2 linked regions of the Drosophila melanogaster genome follow. The protein of the gene in region 1 interacts with the protein of each later gene in a pairwise test. Each region holds a gene or a part of one and is shown on either strand. Other genes may lie near its edges.

Region 1 (4,587 bases):
CGCTGAGTTGGTTTAATCCGTTTTCCTTTCAAAGAATCAACACTTTTGCTCGTTGGCTATTCGAAGTGCAAGGGAACTTGTCGCACTTTTAGCACGAATTGAGTGCCGCACCACGCACAGTCCGCGGAAATCGAGGGCTCCGGCTAGATGGACATCCAAAACACGACTGAATGGAGCCGCTGGCGTTACGAGCCGAGTGTCAACATGTTTGGTTGTGTTTGCCGTCGTTTGTTTACGAATCCGCCTTATCTGCGGCACACCAATTATTATAAACTGAATACGCCCACCGACGAACAAGAAGAGGCGCCCGGCCGCTCGGTTTTTTATTAGCAACACTTAAATAAACCTAAGAAAAAAAAAAAACAATAATGGCAAACACAGCTGATTGGACCGACTAGGGATGGGAGTTGGTCCAGCTAGAGATGGCACTTGCTTACAAGCGAAAATAACGAGCTTTAATGTATTTTAAAATATTTGTCTATTTAGAAGATTATTGAAAACGTCCAATAGCTTCTATAAATTATAATACACAATTTTTTGCTCAAAATATTTCCCAGTATCAAACTCGGTCTTTGTTTATGCACATTTTTATACGCATTTCATTTGTACACATTCGCTCGAACTAGTGGGTAACTTAAATTACAATGACTCTATGCGTGAGATGGGAAACTCGTGGAAAACGTAGAAATCGTGGCTAATTGCAGACGCCCTCATTCGAATATATGGCTGTAGTGCTGCTGGTATACGTGTATGTAGTTCTCCTTCTCCTGCGGCGTCATCTGGGCTATCAGGTTGTCGTCCAGTTGGTCGAGCGGATGCGGTCGTCCAGCCACTAGCACAGTGGGCACATCGTCGTCCTCCTCCGCGGAATCTGAGTTGATATAATTGTCGAAGTCGACATCAGCTGCAAGTACAAAAACGTATATTAGAACCCATAAAAGATGAGATCGAGAAATGGTTGGTGCTTCTTACGAATCTTGGAATTTTCGATGTCCTTTTCGTCGTCGCTGGAATCGCTAGAGTTGGCGTTCGATGAGCCCACTCGCATACCCTTCATATGCGGCTCCTTCTGGCCCGGCTGCTTCTCATGCTGCAGCAGCACGGACATGATGTCCTCGTTTTCCTTTCGGTTGCGATGCCCAGATCCGCTTGCCGTCTGCACCGCATCGGCCGCGCCATCGGCAGCATCCGTGTCGGTTATCACAGTGCTCTCTGTCATCCAAATGGGGCGCGACTTGCGCTCAATCACCGCATCCGAGGTGTCGTCGCCGCCAATGGTGACGTCCACACGAGTTTCCTCCACGGCAAAGCCCTGGTTTCTCGTCGCCTCACCCGACCACGCCATGCCGTCCGGTCGCGTGGCGTTGGGTTTGTTCAGTCCTCGAATGGTGTCGATGTCCACGGGCTCCGGTTCGAGCACCTCTGGCGCCAGCTTGATGCCCTCCACCTCACGGAGCAGGTCGTACAGTGGCTGCAGCTGCTCGTTGAAGTGCGCTAGCATTAGGCGGGAGTCTTTCTTGGGCATGGCGGCGCTGTCCTCCTCCACGGAACTGCCGCAGAAGGTGCACCGGAACTCCAGCGTGGCCATGTCGAACAGCTGGTCCGCTTCGAGGTCCGTGAATGTTTTGGAACACGAAGAGCACTTAAAACTTGCTCTACTGGTGGCATCACGCTCCTCCGTCTCCATACGCTTGCGCATGAGATCCAGCTTGTACTTCACCACGTTCACGAAGGTCTTGTAGTTGATGAAGTAGTAATTGACCTTCTGCGCCTTACCATCCGGCCCCGTTTCCATTTTAAGCCTGATCTGGATGAACTTGTCGGTGCGCAGCGTGGTTATCCGGGCCCTTAACTGCTTCTTCTCGAAGCGCAACAGCTCGCCGATGTCGTCCTCCTTCATGCAGGGATTCCGCACCAGCATGTCGATGATAAGCGCATCCTCCAGGGAATAGAATCCACGGACCACGAGGCGCGCCAGTTGCTTCAGACTGCTGGGCACCTCGGTCACGTACCGCACCTCCGTCTTCGCTGGCGCTGCGTTCGCTGCAGCCGTCGATGTCGACGACATTGTGTGTTTATCTGGAGGATCGGCATTATTAAGATATATATAAACTGATTTTTTCCTTTTGTTGCGAGTGCTCTCCTCACGCCACTTACCAGACTCTCGAAACCGGAACTCCGGAAGCAGAGCACTTTGCGGTTATTCAATGCAGGCAGTGGGTCCGTGGATCTTCATGGGTCTACCGGCAGTCATCTGCTCGCTGTTTGCCCGTATTTCGTATGATTTTCCACGGCAAAAATAAAATTTCCACCGCCAAATTCTTCTTTGTGCAGCAATGTGGCCAAAGAAATTCCTTCGAAAGTCCTCGAAGCAACGCGAAAACCCCTAAATAAGCCTCGCCTTTAGGTGAAACACTTGGATAGAAGGGTAGCTACGCTTCAAACCGATTTTTAGCCCGCACAATTTAGGGCATTGCCACACCAAACTTTTGAAAAACTCATTTCAAAAACGTAGCGTTGAAAAACATTTTATTAGAGACATTAATTTAGCGAAGAATTTAATAATACGAAAATAATTTAGCTATATTTACTTTAAACCAATAATGTTGTTGTTAACTCGAAAGCATTTTGTAGAAATGTGTTTATACATTTAACAATTTTTTTAGAAACCAAATAACCTTTTAACAACTTTTTACTACTACGGAATTTGCCAGATTTGAACGCACTACATTTACATGTTTGTGCAATGGCTTTACTAACAACTTCGCATCTGAGCGCTGTTTGCTTTGAATGTTTTTGACCGCAGAAATGAGTGAAAATAATCCAACAAGTCGTCCTCTCGCCGCCTTTGTTTATCCGCTCGAAGTGCTTAATATTTCATGCTCCGCTGTCTAGGGTCGTCTATTTTTTAATGCGAACTTCGCCTTGCGTTCGAGTGCATTCCGGTGTAATCCCCCGGAACGAGGCTCGCCCACATAAAAAATACCATGGCTACAGGAGCAGAAGCCAAGCAGAAGCCAAGCAGCCGCCGCGGGGGTGGACTTTCCACGGGATCAGAGGTCGGGGGCGCAGACGTCTCCTTGCGTGTTTATTTGGCAGCCAACACACTTCTGTTGTCCTCGATGAATGTCATGGATATAATTGGACGCACAATGCGAAGTCCGAATCAGCTGCTCCATGTTTACAAATGCCAATTCAACAGACAGAAAATAGGCAAATTTATGGAACACGACGAATCAGTTTCCAAAGAAATTATTTTTGCAAAAAAAAAACTCGTGTTTAACTGGAAATCCTATCAAAAAGATTCTTTCATTGACTAATGATCAAATTAGCATTTAAAGTATTAAAACTAAATATAAAACTCAAAATTTAGCCTTTATTGTTTCACTTCTTCTGCAATAAGTTGACTTTTTGTCGCTTTTCTAACTTAAAATTTTTATAAAGGTTTTTCTTGAAATACATATATAAATATTTGTTGTTATGAATGAAAATTGAAACGCGTTTGAATGTGGTATCTTAATCTTTACTGTAACAAATCTTCAGTTATTTGCAAGATGGTTTATCCTAATATGTATGCTGTAATTTAGTTTCTGTACAAATTGAAATATTAAATAAAAATATATTGCTATTAATGAATATTTAACTTTTAAAATGTTTACAGTGCCAACTGCAGCACGTGAACACCCACGGGCGTCCAGCCTGCAGAGTTGCCTGAATGGCTCGGAAAAGCCCAGTCGCTCAAAGGGTGGGAAACTACTCCGCGGAAACTCCTCCTGAACTTGTTTACCTTGCAGCGGAGGGCAGGGCGCAGACTCAGCGAGAAAAGTGGACACAGACAGGGGAGTAGGCCGAAAGTGCTTAGACGCTTTTCCGAAAAGGAAGCAATAGATACCCTACAGCACTACGTCCATGGGAAAAGCTCTTTTCCGCGCGCGAGGGAGAGAGCAGCGGGCAGTGCGCAGGCTCTCGCTCTCTCTCTCGTTCGTTGCGGGGAAAACAGAAAAAGGCTTTTCCACTTTCGCTGTTGGCATCCGCCTGCAGTTTGAATTTTGAGTCGTGCGCGCTAACGCTCGTTTTCCACGCTTTTCCGCTCGACAATTTTCCAACGGCGGCCACAACAATTACAGGCGACAAAAGCGTGCAAATAAAAACTTGTGTTTCTGCTTTCCCAACGTTTTACTGCAGTTTCCTTCGCTGTCTGCGAGACGGCGGACTTTCTTGCGGCTTTCGTTTTTCCGTTCGCGTGTGTGTTTTCTTTCGGTGTTTTTGTGTGTTTTCCGCTGCGAATACGGAACGCAAAAGGAAGAGCCACGATAAAAAACACAAAGGAAAATTGGTAAAACGCGGCGCCGCCACTTTTGCCAAATTGATTTTTATTGTATGAGACGCAGAGTTCAAGCATTATATAAAGAATCAAGCAAGGATAAGGTTGGTTTTCAAAGCCCTCTTGCATGATTTGAATGTGTTAAAAACAATATATAGAAATTATAAGATACCATTACTGGACTTAGTGCATCAGTTTTGTGGGCCGCACGTGAACCGCTGTTGGCCAGTTTCACCCTCTTGCGCGGCTCACCCTCGAAAGAT
Region 2 (4,049 bases), 7.4 Mb from region 1:
CTGCGTCAACCAGGATCAGCTCTGGCGTCTCTTCGACATAATTCCCGGCTTGGATTACTGCCAAATCATGCGCGAACGTAAGTGACCAACCCAGTGTGGGTTTCAAACCCCTTTTGAACTACTTATATCTCCGTTGTAGATGGACCGCGCACCAATGAGGCCTTAGTGGTGTACGACAACCCAGAAGCCGCCATTTATGCCAAGTAAACAAAGCCCTAAAACTCATTTTCATGCAGGCTTTAAAACACTATTCTTCTTTAGGGACAAACTTCATGGCCTGGAGTACCCAATGGGCGAACGCATCATTGTCAAAGTCAATGGAATGAGCTCAGCTCGCATGGACACATCCTTCATAGACAGTACGCGAGTTAAACCTATCAAGGGCTACAGGCCGCGCCATCACCTGTAGCCATTTATTAAACGCTTTTGCTTGGTTTATTTCTTAGCACATTTTTGGCTTAAAATGCATGATATTTCCTATTTCTAGACTTAATGTGGTTTTTTATTTTAGAGCGAACCAAAAAGGATGCCATCTGCAATGTTCCCTTGCCCCCAACTCAGCCACTGGCATCGCCGGACGACCAGGTGGCCCAACGACTGTTCATTGTGCTCTCAGCGGTAGGTATCACTGTACCGTGTCCAATTACCATTAGCTATAAACGTTGTTTCTTTCCCATCTACTCAGAACTTGCCGCATTCGATATTGAAGAACATATTCTCTTGCTGGTCGGGACTGATCGACGTCTACCTTCTGCCCAACAAGAACTGTGGCTACGTCAAGTATGCGGAGGTTGAGAGTGCTCAATTGGCCATTCGTACCCTAAACGGAGCCGAAATTTGCGGCACCAAAATCAAGGTTTGTACCGTGTACTCATGTTCTGTTGCTGACAAGCAAGCAATTCTAATCAATTTTAAATTTTTATCTTACTTTAGGTCATGGAGGCTGAGGAGCGAAGTGGCTCCGACGGCGATGATGGCGGTCGCAAGCGATTGAGACGGAACTGAGTGTAAGTAGCTAGTTGAGTATGCATAAATTCCGTATCTATTAATGTAGCCATAATTGAACTGAGTGTGTGCCGTGGTACGAGGTAAGTAGCTGTGCAAATTCCAAACCGAAAACCTTTTAGCGATTTAAGACAATGTGCGCCTGCTGCACTTGCCCTGTGCACCGGTTGGCCATCGATGTCCACGATACCCATGCCGCCCACTGAGCGCGAACATAATAAGCCAAACCATTTTTATCTTTCTATCTCCACAGACCCACTGACAACCAAGAACTTACAGAGAACGCAATGTACGAAAACGTAACTAACTTGAGCATACAGTCCGATAAAAACAGTTGAACTGACCACCAACCACCAAACAACGCAACAACCAACCAATAACCAAACAAGAACCACCACCACAACAACACTCTCCGTACGGAATGCCACATGAACCAGAACCACGGGGACTGGAGAACGCAGACTGGAAACGGAAACTGCGAACGAAGACCATACCCGGGTGAACAAACCAAACAGGCCAACGAAATCACCACACCCGTTGACTACTCTCTACCAATTGACTAACTCAAGTGGGTCTCGTACAGAGCACTCGTAGAAAGACCCATAACCCATACGACCTTTAAACGGAGCCAACGAAACCGCAATGCTCTTGCTATATACACAATATATGCATAGTGTCGTATATATGTGTACTCATACCGCTTAGGGGACTTTTGAATCTACCCGTGATACAGAAACGAACTCTCTGTGTAACTTGAACTCTTACAAACTTATTCCGACGAGATTCAGCCAAGCAATAAATTCAAACGCAATGAATTTCTTAAGAGTATCAACTCTGTCTCGTAAATTCACGCTAAGCCACAGCGTGAAAAATTATTCTTTTCATATATTAGATTTAAATAAACGATATTCTACTGTATAAGGCCAACAATAAATACACTTAAATGGAATAATGTTTTTTTTTTCTTTGGAAGCGAAATGGGAAACAAATTAATTCTCGCTATGCAGATTTTCCATATATATATAATAAATTTTTTTTTAAAAGCGAATGGACTTTTTGAAAGGTCGTTAAATGAACCAGTTCCGAAATGTACAACTTCAGTGTCGCAGCCCTGGTAAGTTCCGGTTCCACGGACAGCTGAGCAGGCATTGTTTAGATTTTGTAAATTGTTGATTTCTCGCAGCAGAAAGTTTTTTTTCGTAGAGCTAAATAATAAAAAAAAACATTCGAAATGGATCCAGCACTGCTTCGCGAACGCGAGGCCTTCAAAAAGCGGGCGATGGCCACGCCCACGTGAGTACCGCACTTGTGGCCCCTCTGATAAAGATTGCTTCTCGAAAATTACATGCTATCCTTTTAAAATAGCGTGGAAAAGAAGTCCAAGCCCGATAGACCAGCTCCACCGCCGCCTAGCGATGATTCCAGGCGCAAAATGCGCCCGCCCAATGCTCCCAGGCTGGATGCCACAACGTAAGTTCCTTGAGAGCCTCTGCTACTGCCAGAAATGGTTCTTAACCATGTGGAACTCTTGCATTCCATACTTAGATACAAGACCATGTCCGGCAGTTCCCAGTACCGCTTTGGAGTGCTGGCCAAGATTGTGAAATTCATGCGCACACGTCACCAGGACGGCGACGACCATCCCCTGACCATCGATGAGATTCTGGACGAGACCAACCAGCTGGACATTGGGCAATCCGTTAAGAATGTTAGCTACAGTGCGTGATAAGTTGTGGCAGGTTATTAAACCATTATTCCTCTATTTTAGTGGCTTGCTAGCGAGGCTCTGCACAACAATCCCAAGGTGGAAGCCAGTCCATGTGGCACCAAGTTCAGTTTCAAGCCAGTCTACAAGATCAAGGATGGCAAAACGCTGATGCGTCTGCTCAAGCAACATGATTTAAAGGGCCTGGGCGGCATTTTGCTGGACGATGTCCAGGAATCTCTACCACACTGCGAAAAGGTGCTGAAGAACCGATCAGCCGAAATACTTTTTGTTGTTAGACCCATTGACAAAAAGAAGATTTTATTTTACAATGACAGGACTGCTAATTTTTCGGTGGGTTATAAACACACTCTTCTAAAATCCCAGCCTAATCAATTGTACCGTCTCAGGTGGACGACGAGTTCCAGAAGCTATGGCGCTCGGCTACGGTCGATGCAATGGACGACGCCAAGATTGACGAGTACCTCGAGAAGCAGGGCATTCGCTCCATGCAGGACCATGGCCTCAAGAAAGCAATTCCCAAGCGCAAGAAGGCGGCCAACAAGAAGCGGCAGTTCAAGAAGCCCAGAGACAACGAACATTTGGCCGACGTTCTGGAGGTCTACGAGGATAACACACTAACGCTGAAGGGTGTGAACCCAACGTAGAATAGAGACATTAGATTATACAAATAAAAACCACTCTCAATGGAATTAAGTACACTCGAAACTGGATGTTATAAATTTGTTTAACCACTGCCAATCTAATTAAGAATCCGCTGTGGCCGAAATCTCATTCCTCAAGATTTATAGTACCAGATTGCTGTTCTGCCTGTGGCATTGAACTTAAAAATATGACGACCGGCACAGGGAAAGATAATTAAAAAGCAAAACTATGTAATCTTTTCCTGACATTCCCCATTGCTTTCCACACCTGATGGCTGGTGGTGTGCGTGTACGAGGGCCAGAATCGATGCTGGTGGGCAGTTAAATTGGCAACAGAGGGAAGCCGTAGCTTTAGTCTGCACTGAACAGCAGCCAAGTTCAGTTGGAATCGATTTGGAATAACCTATATTTTGGTACGGCGGTTGTGCGGGCTTATCAGGAAAATTATCTATATATTGGACTCTACAAATCTAAAAAAAGATTGTGTTGCTATTTGTAATCTATTAAGATTATAACAAGAGATCCGATATTCAGTATAGACAAAAATATAGCTCATACGACTCGTAAATCAGTCATATTGCAAACTATCGTTCGTCCTCTAACTTGTTCAATTTAAAAGATAGGGTATTCATAAGTGGACTTGCATGAAATCCGATTCTTTGTTTACTTGGCTT

Evidence for each region.
Region 2: the proteins of TfIIEalpha (region 1) and TfIIEbeta interact in a two-hybrid assay, tested with the Drosophila melanogaster proteins (2 studies listed by BioGRID).

What each region holds. Positions count from the first base shown.
Region 1 is NT_037436.4:11,679,793-11,684,379, reverse strand, and holds TfIIEalpha (transcription factor IIEalpha), read right to left. Parts: upstream 2,343-4,587; 5' UTR 2,158-2,342; intron 2,080-2,157; 5' UTR 2,069-2,079; coding exon 973-2,068; intron 905-972; coding exon 711-904; 3' UTR 575-710; downstream 1-574.
Region 2 is NT_037436.4:4,284,914-4,288,962, forward strand, and holds TfIIEbeta (transcription factor IIEbeta), read left to right. Parts: upstream 1-2,124; 5' UTR 2,125-2,236; coding exon 2,237-2,298; exon of another isoform or gene 2,299-2,370; coding exon 2,371-2,475; intron 2,476-2,550; coding exon 2,551-2,713; intron 2,714-2,773; coding exon 2,774-3,064; intron 3,065-3,120; coding exon 3,121-3,378; 3' UTR 3,379-3,436; downstream 3,437-4,049. Other genes in the region: CG1316 (uncharacterized protein), read left to right, coding at 1-77, 140-203, 262-359, 512-618, 686-856, 934-1,005.